3 linked regions of the Drosophila melanogaster genome follow. The gene in region 3 interacts genetically with the main gene of each other region. Each region holds a gene or a part of one and is shown on either strand. Other genes may lie near its edges.

Region 1 (4,690 bases), on a different chromosome or scaffold from region 3:
AGAGTTGGTTATCTTCTCCACCACAGGACCCGTCATTCCCAGTGCATTACCCGGCGTCACCACGAACTTCAAATGGTAACCAATATCCTCAGGAGTCACTAGATATTGAAATCCTTCTCCGCACACCTCCCAATCGGTGTCTGTGGGCTTTTTGGCCTTGAACCAAACTGCTTTGCTGAACTGACGTTCTCCGAATTGTATCTGAACATTGGTGGGGTATATTACAAATCCTGCCAATATGCATGAGGGCAAAAATTTTAGGGATGAAATCCACGGTGGATTGAACACCAAATCGTAGACCGTATCTAATACCTGCAGTTTTACATTGCTGATATCTTGGGTGACGACTAGATCCTCAAATGTTAATTCATTGAATTTTTCACCATATTTGTCACTCAGAAGTTTAACATTGATTTCTGCCGGCGGTTTGATTTTTGATTTTTTGCAGGACTTTGCAAGCCTGCCAATAATATTACTCTGAATCCTGGCCAATATCGCATCAATGGGCTCATTCATCTGGCGACGGAAATTGAATTCCCGGTTTATTTTCAAATTCTCATTCACAAAGCGAAACACAATGTCCAATTCTTTGGTATCACTTGCATTTCTCAAATAAACCTTCTCCATTTTACCAGCCAAGGAAGTGCCACAAAATCTGGACAATAGCGAAACTCTAGTTGGAGTTTTATTTCCGAATAATTTATCAGAATTGCGAACTATGTTTTTAAACAAAAAAAACCCCATCAATGTTGCAAATGTTGGAGCGAAGATCGGCGTTGAAGAAGAGAACTTCTCTTAGTTGACTTGTTTTTCGCCGTTTTATCTGGGAAAATTTTGGGTTAGACAACTTTACTTGGTGCACCGATGTCGTAACAACTCACTTGTCCAGATTTAGTTGCAAAATTAATCACATTTAAGTTGTTTTACACCTATTTACAATCGGCAAACAGTCGTGTTGCACGAAAACACCGCAGAAATTAGGCGAAACTGCGCCGATTTCGATAAAAACGAAGAGAGATTTTTACTTTTTCGCTCTGCCACGCCGCGCGATCAGCTGTTGTTTTTGGCATTCACAACGAAACCAACCACATGCTCGGCATTGAGAAACAGCTGATCTTGAGAGAGCTTCTGCCATTAGCAACGTTGAAGCTTTGACGCAAAAGCTTTTAATAAAAGCTTTATTTAATTTCAAATCTTGAAAGCAAAAAGATTTCACTTAAATATTACTTTTTTTCATAAAATTATAAAGCTGATAAATATATGAAGAGTTGCTATGATCTGAAATTGAACATATCGAAGAATAGAAGATTTTTTCTATGAAATAGAAAAAAAATTTCTATATAGGAAACGTTTATTCCTTTTTTGTGGTCATTAGGAGGAACATTATTATTCGCAAAATATACACCCGAACAAAACTATAAAACCTCCTATTTCACTTCAGTTGAAAACTATTTTCACGGCAAACGTCGTAAACATTAAGCTAAGTGTTACGATCCAAATGAGACATCTTGCCCCAACGAAGGAAACTCAACTTTCGGCCAAGTTAAGAAAGGACAACTGAGACGACGGCCATAAAAATTCGAAACAGAAGCCAGATCATATGTGTAGAGCGTATTTGGCAAAGGGGTGGACCAAAGGTATGGAGCACACAAGTGCATAAAACGCCGAAACAAGCCAAGAGATGACTTGGCCAGGCCAAAAAGGAATTGGCTTGGCCCCGAAACAGAGTCAACAACTGTGCGCCACACAAGAGTTTGCCAAAAAGATTGCACTACGAAGGAGCAAATGAAAAAATAAAAATCAAAAACAAGAGAAAAATCGCATAGAACTCTATAAAGGACACAGAGGACCAAAAAGGACAACAACCTGACTGGCAGGGCAAACGAAACCAGTTGAAGAAATGTTGCTGACACCAAAAACGAAACTGCAGGAAGACGCCGATGATGAGGATGAGCCAGGGAATGAGGCTAAGCCCGAGGATGCAGAGAGCATCCTTGGGCCCGAGATGTGGAGCAGAGGCGGTAAGGACAACAACGAAATTAGTTAGCACTTGAGAGAAAGCAGCTTTGGCTCAGTTCCAGGACTCGTTGCTGGCTTACAACACCTGCGGGAAAAAGAAGAGGACTTTTAGCTGCTCCTTCTGTTCCCTACTCCTTTCCTATTGACCCGAACCAGAGATGGCCAAAAAGCTTCGATTAGACACAGTGGATGGAACAAGGACTAGAAACTAACTATAAGTCATTTAAGAGTTTTACATATTGAACATTTTTTAAGCAATATTATATACACTTTTCAAAAATTTACCAGCATTTATATTGAAATTAAGTATAGATGATTATATTCGATAGTATATTTCTGAGATATAAAGATTAAAATCCACCAAAAATCAGCAAAATAGTTAGCTCATCTTCGACAGAAGTGGTGAAAAGCAAGTTCTTGGAGGCAGGCGGCAGCAATTAAATAGCTTCGAGCACTCCGAACTCAATTGCAGCAATTTCAATAACCGTCGAGGACACTCAAAGGACGGCAAGGTCCTTGCGATAATCTGTCATGCAGCGTGGAAGCCCAAGCACCGTGTCGCACACACCCACTCACACACACACAGCACACAGGACGAGTTCACAGCACACCAACCCACTTTCCATTCACACTCAAGGACAACTAGAATATCCGCTTTTGGTCTGAACACTTGAAGAACTTTCTTGCACTCACCTATTTCACTTGCTGCGGGAATTTGCTATATTTCTTCTTATTTTCCTTTTTACACTTGTAGAATTTGTAGCCGAAAGCGGATAACTGGGCTATTTCATTTGTAGTCTTGTGGGGGTAAATACTTTGTATATTTTTTTGTAGATTTTCTTCTTAAGAATTATTGATAAAAGCATGGAAGAGTGACGCGGTACGGCCGAAAGGTTAACACATTGAGAATTTTGCCACCAATAAGCCGAAAAATTGATAAACTTTTATAAAATTATATGTACGTTACACAATCTGATTTGGAAACACTACAACTAAAAATCTATATTGAATCGATTTGACAAGCGTTAGCGCAGCCAACTGGGATGCAAAGCTCTCGCTGTTCATTTTTTATTTTTTATGAACTTTGCTAAAATAAAACTAAATTAAATTTAAAAAAAAGCAAATGAATTGGATACCATAATTGATTGCTATCACTGATTCATATCAGTCGTTCAGCTCACCAAGTCGAACGTTTGACATTAGCAATAAATGAATCAACAAATATAAAAGTTTTGCCAAGAAAGTAATTTGCTAAAATTGGCGAGTCGAGAAAGAAAGTCAAGAGGGTGAGTGGAAAAAAAACCGAAAGAAATTCAATGAGGCTGAAAATTTCCTGGCTCGATGCCAATTGAAGGCAAAGAAAGAAAACAAAACTCGAGTTTCTAATCAATTAAAAAATACAACGAGCGGCGGCAGGGGCAAATCAAGAGTAGAGGGTACGATTTTCGGCAATAAATAAATTACAACCAGCATGCAGTCAAAGCGATTAAATTGAAGGGGAGGCTTCCAGGACTATCTGATGCCGAAGAAAGTACAAAACTTCACTACGTCTGGTGCAATTTTAATTACGACTGCGATAGGAGCAGGTCGAAAGTAATGGCAAGGAGCAAAGACACCAGTCACGAGATACACAAACTCGTTGCGACTGCGAGAATACCCCGTATCTTATTGTGTTGTTTATAGAAAATGTAGGAAGCTACTTTTTGATGATTACATGGAGTCTTTCTTTCAAATTTGCATGAATATTTCGAAGAATATTTACATGAATTGTTTGAAATCATTGCTATATGGTTGTAGATTTAAAATTTCCAAAATAAATACTACTATAAACGTTAACAAATTTTATAAAGATTATGTTACTTATATATTATTATATTATATATTTTCTCCTCATATTTCAATTTCCAAAACCCTAATATGATAATATCCCTAATATCCTAATATATCCCTAACTTAAAACTTCTTTATAGTACCATTTACAAATGAATTAAATTTTAAATCGATTTCAAAAAGGCTTTTCTTGAAATGTCCTTTTGTCATTAATCAAAAAAAAATCTCTCAGTTGCAAATTTCTTTATCGTAAATGCAACATGATATTAAAAAAAATTAAAAATTAAAAAAAAAAATTGGTAACCCATATTTGATCCAAATTACTCCATGTGTAATATATCCTTAGCGCAACTTTTACAGGGTATAGCAGGGCGAAAGGCGCCGAGTCGACTAATCCTTTGGCAAAGTCTTTGACAGTTGTCTTAGATTGCACAACAACAAAGAGGAGAAACACAATAACATCTTCATTATTATCATTATCATTGTTTCCAGCACTGTGGGATGAAAAAGTACAATAAACGAATAAGTACAATAAATAAGCAAACGAAGAAACAACAAACATTATCGCACATCATTATCGTTGTCATTCAGAGAGCGTCGTTCCAGCTTAAAAAAGCCAGCCCAACAAATATATGTATATATATATATACCTATATATATTTGCTTTATTTTGGTGTTTAGTTAGTTTTTATGAGCGTCATTATTTTCGCTTGCCATGGCGCTAAGCATCTTAAGTGGCTCCTGCTCCCGCATTTCCCTCCTATTTTTTAGTGGAGCACTTTCCTCGTGTATTTGTTTTCATAGGCGCAAAATGTCTTCGTCAACTTTTGACGATTTTATA
Region 2 (6,957 bases), 2.9 Mb from region 3:
ATAAACTGGAATTGAGGCGGCCAAGACGAGGTGGCCAAGCGTGGCGAGCTACCAACTCAGGAGGAGGACCCCGAACTCTCATCAAGGATAAGCTCGGAAAAAGGTGCATCGAGCGGTAGAGGGAGAAAGTGGCAGGTGCTCAGTCGTCCTATCTGAGTGGTTTAATAGCTACGATCCAACGAGAAGATGGGGACTTTATGGCTTAGAGTTTGGTATTGGTTTTAAATTGACTGACAAAAGAATTCAGTCTTTTAATTTTATTGAAATGCTTTAGGAAAATACGACGAACTGCAAAGTTTGCATTGAGAAATTTAACAAAAACTTTGTTGAAAGTTAATGTTCTGAAACCAAACCAAACTATTTGTTAAAACGGTTTTAAATGGGAAATCTGATATTTTGATAGCTATTAAATAAAATCTGTCCTAATCTTATGTATTTAAATGTAACATTATTATAATCAAATATGTCATTTTGGTAAGGTAGATTTTATATAGAAATATAACAAAAAAAATTCTACAATAATTTAAATAAAGTTTATATATTTGTGCATTGGTTGTGAAGTAGGTTTACGTCAATCCTCTAAAATGTAATAACACTTTTTATGGATGAAGTCTAAAGCTTAAAGATTAAATTCACGATGTTGCTTTAAACTATTTACCCTTATTGGGAGAAGCGCAAATAAAAATGAATTTAAACTTAATTTCTCCTATATTTTACTCGCAATGTATTTTTAATAATTAATACAAAAATTAATTTTCATCACATTCAAAATTAGGAACCCATTTGTAATCCTTGTCAAATCTAAAGGTAATCTAAACAGTATCTACAAACATGGAGAGTTGCCACGACAGATGTTAGATCCTTGGATTCATCCACCTAAATATTTGTATGCTACCCCGCCCCATCCCGCCCTCGTCCTCTCCCCCCTTCCACCGATCAGCAGTGAAATCCTCTGCCGATTGCTGGCCCTCTCTCGCTTCTTCTCCCTTGGCCAAAGTACCGATCCCGATATTCCTGAGCCAACAACAGTTGGTGGCAGCAACAGAAAGAGCAAAGGCAATTGTAACTGTTACAGGGCAGCGGGAAAAGGATAACAAACGCCCGCCAAACTTTAAGTGCATACCAATTAGTAGGGAAACGCGTGCTGGAAAACCAGTAGTAGATGGGCCAAGAGGATACGAACGCAGGGGGTTGGGGTATCGAGATCGCCAGGGGACTCCTAACTGTGCGTCTTGACCCATACAACATGGAACACAGGACTGCAACTGCCGCCAACTGCTGCCAAAGGTGAAAAACCAGAGTTGGCAACACGAACACCAACACCAACAATACATTGCAGGGCTCTCGAGAGCCACCACCAAAAGAGTCAACACCAATACACCGAGGGCTCGTTTTGATTCGGCTTGCTGCCGCACTCACACAGTGCCACAAGTAACCACAGTCGCACACAAAAATAAAAAAAAGAGAGCTCGATTTGTACCTTTTTTTCGGGCCAAGTCGCTTCACCGTTGGCTCAATTTAGAACTGAGCCATCGACCAAAGATTCAGTCAGGTGCGAAGCACCGAGCGATACGGACGTGTTCGTCTCCAGTGAGTCAAGATAAAACCGCACTGAATAAGACCCATCGAAGATCCGTTCGAATCCAAGATCACAACGCCAAGAAAGTGAGATTTGTGCAGTGAACAGTATTGAGAAAAATCACAATCCAAAGACTGTTAAAGCAAATACGTAAATCAGATCCAGTGAGATTCCAAAAAGTAAAGATCCAGAATCAAAATGAATCACCTATCGCCGCCGCCATCGCCGCACTCCCAGCAGCCGAGTCCCGCGGGATTGGGCTGCCATGGAGCAGCTCTGGACAAGCAGTGGATGCAGCGGGCATCCGCCTTCAACACTGTGATAGCCTCCGCCGCAGCACAGAAACTCAATGGTCGAGGTGAGTTCCCGATCTGGATTGACAGAAAAATATATGGGGCAGTAAAGATAGCAAAAAGATTAGCTTATAGCTTTTTAATCGTTTCGAATTGTATTTAAAAGATCACTCGATTTAAAATCAAAATGTTAACACTTTCAACAGATCAGAAAAATTATGTTAACTTTACTGTAGTTCTTACCAATACAAGAGTAACTTTATATTGATAGGCATCCTGAGGATACTTTTCCTTCCTAATCTTAATCACTACTATTCAACTGATTCGTTAAATTTGCATTTCATAGATCTGCCCTTTTTGTACAACCCGCTGCTCTACTCGAGTGCCCTACTGTGGCCCCAATTTTTGTTGTCCTCGGCCACGGCTCTGGGTACACCACTGACCCCCATGACCCCCAAATCGCCCGCCTCTGTGGTTTTGGGTCAGCGGGATCGTGACTTTGCCTTGACGCCCGAAAAGGAGCATGAACTCCAAATGAACAATAACAATGAGAACAGCAAGCAGGACTATCAGGAGCAGGATGAGGATATGCCACTAAATCTAAGCACCAAGGAGCGCATCACATCGGATGATTCCAACCGAGATCAGTATCACAGCAGCAGCAACAACAGCAGCAGGAGCAGTTCCAGCAGTGAAGTGGAGCAACTGCATCCGATGACCTCGCTGAACGTTACCCCGCCTCCCCTGAGCGCTGTGAATCTAAAGAGTTCGAGTACACCACAGCAACAGCGCCAGAGATCGCAGGGTAACATCATCTGGTCACCGGCCTCGATGTGCGAGAGATCGGCGAGAAGGGAGCAGTACGGCCTGAAGATGGAGGAGCAGGGCGATGAGGAGGAGCACCAGGTGGATCCTATTGTGCGAAAGTTCAAGTATGAGCGCAGAACTGCATCCATATCCTCGCTGCAATCGCCGATCTCCTCGCTGTCCGCTCCCGCCTCGAATGCCGTCCAGGATCTGGAGTTCGAGGTGGCCCAACAGCAGTTGTATGCCCATCGCAGCGCATTCATGGCCGGATTGACGGGCAACAATCTGGAGCTGCTCACCCAGCACTTGAAGCTGAAGAGCGAGCAGCCGCAGCAGCAGCAGCAACAGCATCGCATCAAGGACGAGCAGCAGCAGGATAACCGCTCGGCAGCGGCACTCATGAATTTGGTGGCAGCCGCCGAATTCGGCTACATGCGTAATCAACACCAACAGCCGCAGCAGCAGCAGCAACAACAGTTGCATCACCAGCAGCAGCCGCAGCAACATCAGCATCAGCAGCAACATCCTGACTCGACGGCCACAGATGTTGCGCGTCGTTCGTCCTCCTCGTCATCTTACCAAGGAGAAAACGAAGAGAAGCGCAGCGGCAGGAATTTCCAGGTAAGCAAACTCAAACAGGATAAACGCGTCGAGGGGTAGGGAAATATGAAGAGGAAATCGAGGGCAAATCGCTTGAAAATCTCTGAGCCCCCAGCCCGCTTTAATGGGCTTATCACGTGTCCTGAAGGACCATGATCTATAACCCAAAACGAATACTGTTCGTATCATTGCATAAGGTTGCGTGTCCTCGACAATTCCCCTGTGTTAATTGTTTCATATTTTGTCCGTGCGGGTTTTAATTGTCGCCGAGCCGAAAACCCCACCAATACCACTTTCAATTTGGAAAAGTGGCACAGCAAATACTGTCATAAAGTTGGTAATACAAGCCAAACCGATAGAGCTCTATGGAAATTCAATTAAGTCCCATCGAAATCACGCAATTAGTTAATCAAATAATTTTGATTAGCGCCAGTGCGGTGGGGGGCATAACTCGCCCTCGAAGATTTATGTACAAATTACAATCATAATAATTCGATATTGGATTGTGCAAAAGGTAAGAGGGCACACGACCCTCAGGAATTTGAGACGACTTACCCTAATAGGCCTTATGCCTACCCCGATGTCATATTGCGTTTATATCCATCAACACCCGCCGCGAGTCCTTATTTTTTTTTTTTTTAACATCTTTTTCCAGTTTTTTTTTCACACATTAAAGGGTCAGAGTGAAATGCGATAGGTTTTCGGGCTTCAGTACCGGACCGACATATGGTCAAAAAGCCGACGAAGACAGTTGCCAGAGTCCTTTGCGCAGGCGCAGTCACTGTTCTTCAGCTGTTTATGTATAAAATCGAATTTTTTCTGTAATTCGTGCTTTACATCTGTTCACCATTGGAGGCCCACCCGGCTGACTCAGACTTTGGGGTTTCTCCTTAACTCTTTTTTTGTTTCCCTGCTCGTTTTTTCTTTTTTTTTTTGCCTTTCGAGCTTTGCCAACTTCCGTTCCGTTGTCAGAGCTAAGCAAATTGACATTATGGCTCAGGCAGTTGAGCGCAGCTTAACAATAGAGCAACTAATTGGGTCTGAGTCTAGCCAATGTGTGTAGTGGATATGGTCCACGCGAATGCAATGCGCAAATAGAAAATCCCAAAAACAAGGCTAAAAAAAAACGTAAAAAATAAAAAAATAAGAGAACATAAAAATCAATAAGAAAGAAATTTTAAAAAACCGACACTTGTGTCAATTTACAATTACGCGTAGACCATGCGGGTTTTTCAAAAAAAAAATTGTCTCACATTTTTTTCACCCATTTCTGTGTTTTACTTTTCGTTGTTTTCATGTTTTCGTGTTTAATATAAATGTCGCCCACGTAGGCCGACGATTTGAGTTGTGTTATGTCAATGTTTGGTTACTTGCAACGTTGCTGCAACTGGCAAACTGTTCAAACATTTAATCTGACAACCGAAGATGTTACAGCCACTGGATTCGTCCAATCCCCGCGATCGATTCCCCGTGGATCCCAGCTGTGTTTGGCCCACAAATACTGCGGTATATACAATGTATGTACATATATGCATGGCTAAAGCTCCCTGGAAAGTGTCTCACTTGAGATTTAGCATTGGGCCGAGATATTTACCTAGCTGGTTTCAGCGCTGAGAAATGGCTAAGGTTCTAGATTATTTGTCGCCTGGATGTGGGCTAACCAAGTTTGGCTTGGTTTGGGTTTTCCCTTGTCGTCACTTGTCTAACAAATATTTGAGCACTCACAAATCTAGTTTAATTCATGTTGCCACTGCGAATTTGGCTCAGGCACACAAAAACGGTGAATTTATATATAAATTCTTTTCTGATTTTTTGATTATTTGGCTTTTTGGTGTGAATATGCTCAAGCTGTGCAAATATGGGGTATTCTGAGTTCCAATAATCATGACTCGTTCTGTCTGAATGTGGTGTTAATAATGTATTTTTCTATTGTCTATGTCTTTCTTTTTAGTGCAAACAGTGTGGCAAGAGCTTCAAGCGTTCGTCCACCCTGTCCACACATCTGCTCATCCACAGCGATACACGGCCATATCCCTGCCAATATTGTGGCAAGCGGTTCCACCAAAAGTCGGACATGAAAAAGCACACGTACATACATACCGGTAAGTTGAATATTCGGTGAAATCAAAGCTAGTCCATGGGGAGAGTATCCAACTATTCCTCGGCAAATGTGTCAGAACGTGGTGCAAACAGAGCCACCCTTGAGCACACACACAGATCCCTATCGCCTTTCAATTTGTCTAATTGCTGTAAAGCTGCCGCCGCCTCTCGGCCACAATTAATAAACTTTGAAGCGGCATTTAACTAATTGTGTTTATTGATTTTCCTGCGATTCCAGGCGAGAAGCCACACAAGTGCACCGTGTGCCTGAAGGCCTTCAGCCAGAGCTCCAACCTGATCACGCATATGAGGAAGCACACGGGGTATAAACCCTTCGGTTGCCACCTTTGCGATCAGTCCTTCCAGCGCAAGGTGGATCTGCGACGTCATCGAGAGAGCCGCCATGAGGAGGCTCCGCCAGTGGAGGACCTGAAGCCCCTGAAGATGGAGGTGAGCAGCAGCAGCTGCTGACCGAGGCTAGGCGGCAATCTCTGATCCAGGAGATCCCAGTATTAGCTAAGCAGGACGAGACACACACTCAAAACCAGATGATGATGATGATGATGATGATGATGAAGGTGGAGCAGATCACAGTTGGCCCTAAGTCTAAGTCGTTGCTATGAAGCCAAAGTTTGTTTTGTTTAGGCCTTCGCAAAGATTTACCTAATCGTAAGAATTATTGTTAAAACATATTAGCTAAGATACTGCCTTAAGTCTGTACATAGTTATCCCAAACAAGACTCTTTTTTATAGCCGTTAAACCCTAGCTTAATGATTAATCTAATTTATTGCATAAAGCGTTTTTGATTTGATTCAAACTTAACCCAAAATTGGCAGCTAAACGTACCAAAGAACAACCTCAAACAAATGAACTACCACTTGGCGACCACTTGTCTAAATTTAGTTTCCTAATTTATTTAAGTTTATTGATGGCATCACCCACATTTATTTATACGATCTATGCGAATTTTTAGTTTATTCTTATTTTGTAATAAGCCCAATGACTTATTGTAATTATATTTATTAGGAGCGTATATGATTTTTGGAAAATAAAGTTGAAAGCTAAAAGAGAACAAACAAAATATATGGGTTTTTTTAAGGATAAAATATCTAGAATGATTGATTGATTCCTTTATACAAAATCCTCAGGCATATCAGAAAATACACATGATATGATTAATACATATGTATATATTTTTGGTATGTATTATTAATTCAAAAAGTTTTTACATCGGGTGGGTTAAATATCTCATTATTACGATCAACCCCTTGAGCAGCTGAGAAATTCCTTAGTATCAAGGACACAGCCTCCTCCTTTGAAGTACCACATTTTGATACAAATTGTCCAAAGCGCTCCAAATATTTTTTCGGGGGCCTGTTCGTAAACCTGATTTTATAGATGAATTTCTGCACGTACTCAATTGATGGGGAATAAGTTGCTCCTGTTTCGGGTGACGCGGTGATCTTTGATCTGTGCCCAATGTGGCATTTGGGGAATGCCCTTTGTAAGTCGCCGCGTTACAGCAGGTACACATCCCCCTCGGCCCACTTGCATGCCCGATCCTTGGGGAAAACGCC
Region 3 (4,925 bases):
GTACATAAATATAGCATACAGCTAGTTTAAAAATAGAATTTATTTATGTAATTTAAAACAGTGCTTGAAGAACCTGCTGTGCTGGCATAAAAAAGTATGGTCACACGTGTGCGAAGCCCCCCCCCCCCTTGGCTTTTCGCCCAGCAGTTTGGCCTCGTTTTTAAATTGAAATCTCTGCAGCCAACACTGGACATTGCCTTCATTTCCCCGCGGACAGAGAAAGGGAGAGTTGTCCCTGCATTTCTCCCGTCCTTGCGGTGCTTTAAATAATTGCTTAGAAGCCGACGAGCAGACTCAGTGGTAACAATAATAACCGCCCAAGCACTCCGACTATGATAATAATAGCAAATAGAACCTGCCGCAGATGGAAATGCCACTCGGACAGACGCCGCTCCCCTTTCTCTTACTTTTCCACATAAGCCTTTGGCTTATGACCACACCCCCCCACTGCAAATGCATTTCACTTACTCTACACACACACACACACTCGTATAGTAGAGAAAGTAAGGGCCAGTGAGAGTTTGTGTGTTTATGCTCACTTTTAATGTGCCATATAAAATAATTTAATGACCGGCCAGAGACGAGGGTGTCTCCTGGTAATGAGAAAAGCGATTGGACAAAAACGGGTGGCTGTAAATGATAATAGTGGCATATTATGATGCAGATAGTCATGACAAATGGCTACGTCGAACTTTAATTGGTAAGCGGACTTGGACTGGATCGCCATATAGAAAAGCAATTATATCTGTAATTATAAACTTATCTATTTGCCATTAAGAATGGATTACAATGTTTGAATGCCATTTGTAAAGCCATAATATCTACAAAGTATAAGTAAACAAATTTACAAAAATGACTACAAAAAAAAAGTCTTAAAAAGTACTCAATACAATTTTCATGTAAATCAACCCTTTTCCATTTTCTCTTTCTCTCCTGCTGAATTTTAAATTGTTATTTTTAAATATTTTCGTTGGGCTTTTTCTTCGAGCTTAATCTGCGGAAAATTTTCCATCGGTTGCCTTAAGTCAACCCTAATTAGGTTATTCTTGGCAATCCCTTGCTCAATCCCCTTTTAAAGCGGCCTTAAAAAACGGAATTAATTTTCCGAAATTTATATTTTTCTTTTGATTTCTTTAGATTTTTGGTTTTGCTTTCGTTCTTCGTTCCCGATTTTCGTCCTTCCACTTTACTGTCCTGGTCATTTTCTACAAAATAGTTGCGCTTTATTTCCAGGCAACTTCGTCGCTCAAGTGACAGCTGTCCTCACCTCCACTTCCGCTAGAATGTCAATAAAAATTCAATTACGTTTTCCGCCAAAGAAAAGTTGCTGCTGAAAATACGTTTTCCTTATAGCCTTCTGTTTCCATTTAAAATTGCCTCTCTTTGTCGAACGGAATTTGTTTGCCAGCCTGATCGATTTGTGATGCTGGGCCGTGGAAATGTGGAAATCAGAGACTTGGGCACTTATACTTAATGGCCTAATTATGTAACCAAACGCCCACACACAAATAGGCTGAGTAAATAATCATAATAATCAGCATTTTGGCGGGGGAAAGAAGAAACCATAAACTTCTCGGGGTTCAAATAAAAATAAATTGTGCGACTAGGCTTGGGCAATTTGGCGGAAATGGTTTTCTGCCTTGAACACATATGTTTATAAGATTTATTCTGTTTTTCTGCTTATTTTTTGTGGTTAAATAGTTGGCCAAGTTTATGCTGATGATGCCGTAGGTCGTTGTGCATTAAACCAAATTTAATGTTACCTTTTATCAGGTGGCATTAAAGAGCTCTTTCACCAAAAATATACATTTTTCTCATCCCTCAAGTAAGCATCAAACTGTTATACTGACTGTAGTGTTATACGGCAAAGGCTGCTGCATACTTACAGGCTCTTTTGCGCAAAATTTCAGTCTCCCATTGCAAGTGCTCACGTGAGGACGGAAAACATTTTGCTCATCGCTTTCGCCTCGCGCATTGGCAAGTCGCGTAAAATTCTCGTGTTAACAGGAAAAACGTCACAAATTTTTCAAAACCACCCCAAGTCCCATTACCCGCAGTGGGAAAAACCTCAAATTCCTTGGGCTATCCGTATCAATCAACGACTAAAGGCTTAGTGTCCCTTTGTGATTGTGTGTGCTTTTTGTGTGTGCACTGTGTATTTCGTTGTGCTGCCGGCTTCAATTAGCAGCTTTTCCTCATTCTGCCCGCTGCTCTTGTGTGCGTTAGATTAATGAGGCAAAAGTGTTTTGTCGTGTCGTGCGTTAAATATTTAATACAATATCAAATAAATGTTGCATAAGCCGCCTGTCATTTAGCATCTAGTGCCAAAAGCAAAAAAAAAAAGAAAACACAAAAACGTGTGTTTGTTTCGTGTGTTTACCACAAGTAATTCGGACAGCAAACGGATTCTTTTTTCACGATTCACAAGAGCACGTCGATCAAGTAAGCCTTAGCTATTAAATATCACAGAAATAAAAATGTATCCCATTTAGCACATTAAGTTACCCATTTGAACAGCTTTTATTGGACTAGTCTTCCGCTGAGATATCTTGAGAATTTGCCCATTTCCCAAACGCATTTAAAACATTTTTATTGCCCATTTTTGCTTTATGTCCCGCATTAAAACATCTCCCGCTACGTAAAGATAATTTTGATTTGATATTCGTGTAATTTTTCCATTTGTTATTTGCCCGACTTCCATTGTTGATGGTCTGGCAGGGAATTTCGATTTGCGTTTACCCTTCATTTATTTTCAGCTGGAGATGCAAATAATGGTAGAAATGCCCGCAAAAATACTTTTACAGCAACAGGACTCCGGGGCCGATTTTCATTTCAAATTGCTCACATTAAGGGGCCACCCCCCCCCCCACCGGGCATCACAATCTCCCCCCTTTTATGGCACTCACATACCCTGTATCTGTGCATATATCCCCTTATTACCCAGCGCAGAGTACGAAATTAATTGTAACCAAACGTTTTGCTGCTTGCCGCAAACTTACTTTTATACTAGTTCATTTGCCACGCCCCTATCCCCCACGGAATGGACGCACAAAGACAACTAAAAGGGTATACACGCACAGCAACACTGAGAGAAATGGGTTCTGCATCGATAGTTATAGTTTTTAAGCCAAAATGTATGCTTATATTTTCTATTGCTTAATTTAAGACTTCTTTTTAGTGACTTTGAGCCTTTACTTTAAATAACTTTAAACTTTACTTTAAATAACAAAATCGAAGTTGTGACAACAGTTTTTCCTGCGTGAGCTTATACAAACACGTGCATGTACATGTGGAGCAAGAGGTAGCTAGCATCCCAACTAAGTAAATAATGCGTAAAACAAGTCAAGCGTTTTACAAACTCACCCATTTCGCCATCCCGTTTCCCCGTTAAACAAAGGGGGTTTCCACTGCAAAACGGGGAGTTTCCCCCATTTAGAAACAGCAGAAACAGTCAATTGTAAAATTGCTGCAGCCAACAAAGCGTGGCAAGGAAGCTAAGCGAGTGGCTCAGACTGTTTCCATAGGTAGTTGTTGCCCGATGTTGATGACGGCTAGGATTGCCGGATTCCCGGCACAAGAATCTCCACCGTATGTAATTCATTATTATGCTGACTGAGGCTGGAAGGCACTGACGGTAGAAGCCAGAAGCAGGAAAAAATATTTGCGCACATGTGGCTAGAGTTTCCATCACTTCAGCGTGCTGCTGTTATTCTTGTTAAGGCTAAAATTGTCTGTCACTTTGAGACTTCCGTCATCTGCAGGATAAAAGCTGTGGGCGAAAATATGCGAGCGAAAAATGAGACTCCACATTTTGGTTGTATGCTAAATACTTCACGGTCCACGGTCCTGTTTATGCAACAAGGATGTCTTTGAAAATATCAACGTTGGTTCGCAAAAAAGGATACCTATTGTATATATCGGGCTTAGAAAAATAGGGGATTTTAATACTAAAAAGTTTTAAAAAACTTAAAACTTTCGTGACATGTGAAGATGGCTCTCATTTATCAACGCTACAAAAGTAGCTCAAAATGGCCCTTTTGAAAATATAAGGACATGAAAACGATCAAATATACCACCTGTGTCGCAGTCAAAATGTAACAACAATTGAGAACAATAAACAAATGGCACACAAAATCAAAGTTTGGTTCGCTTATCTTTGTTTGACTTCTCTTCACTTTGACCCACCAAAAAGTTTTTATTTTTTTATAATGTCCTCGAAAAATGAGCGCCATAAATCATGGGGCGTAAATATGCCACCCCCATTTATCTCGTCTAACAAAGGGAAAACTTGCACCGTAAATTTGTATAAGCAGCAATTACTTAAAAAACTCCGAACCTTGACTTGTTTAGCCAACCAATGAAAAACTCTATTGTCAACTACAATATTTTTCCACAGCTCCATTTGCAGTTATTTACATGAGCAGATCCACATTTTTGGGTGGCAGATGGGTGCTGTGCCTGATATTTTTTTTTATGCTTACTTGCGACATCGCATTTTTGCACAAGACTTCTAAACTATATTTCGGACAATATGCAACATGATATTTTTCATGCTTATTCAACAGAAAAAAAATGAGAAGAGATTGCACATACGTTCCTCACAGAATTTCAATAAAATAGAGTAGGAATTTATGTGCACGATATGTTTCCGAGATTCTATGAGCATGTAATTTGTGGGTATTTCTGTCACAGTTTATATGTACAAAAATGTGCATTGCAGTATGCAGAGATCTAATGCTTTCCTTTTTTTTATTACTCAACTCATTTTGAAACTAGCCTTTTTAAATGAAATTGCCAAGCAGTATATACTTATATTATTGAATATTGATTTATTTAATTATTATTTGAAATGAAAAGTATTTTATTCCTTCCATTTTGTAACCCCTTTTCATATCCTTGCAAATAATTTGTCTTATTATGCTCCC

What was found. Genes that interact genetically often act in the same process or in processes that back each other up.
Region 1: of Rbfox1 (region 3) and bru1, changing one enhances a phenotype caused by changing the other (phenotypic enhancement), as found in Drosophila melanogaster (one study listed by BioGRID).
Region 2: of Rbfox1 (region 3) and sens, changing one suppresses a phenotype caused by changing the other (phenotypic suppression), as found in Drosophila melanogaster (one study listed by BioGRID).

Annotation. Positions count from the first base shown.
Region 1 is NT_033779.5:12,204,153-12,208,842, reverse strand, and holds the start of bru1 (bruno 1), read right to left. Parts: upstream 3,001-4,690; 5' UTR 2,713-3,000; intron 1,135-2,712; exon of another isoform or gene 628-1,134; coding exon of another isoform or gene 1-627. Other genes in the region: CG31759 (uncharacterized protein), read right to left, coding at 1-627.
Region 2 is NT_037436.4:13,395,728-13,402,684, reverse strand, and holds sens (senseless), read left to right. Parts: upstream 1-1,559; 5' UTR 1,560-1,777; coding exon 1,778-1,937; intron 1,938-2,218; coding exon 2,219-3,300; intron 3,301-5,230; coding exon 5,231-5,381; intron 5,382-5,617; coding exon 5,618-5,850; 3' UTR 5,851-6,457; downstream 6,458-6,957.
Region 3 is NT_037436.4:10,479,504-10,484,428, forward strand, and holds the start of Rbfox1 (RNA-binding Fox protein 1), read left to right. Parts: upstream 1-1,908; 5' UTR 1,909-2,442; intron 2,443-4,925.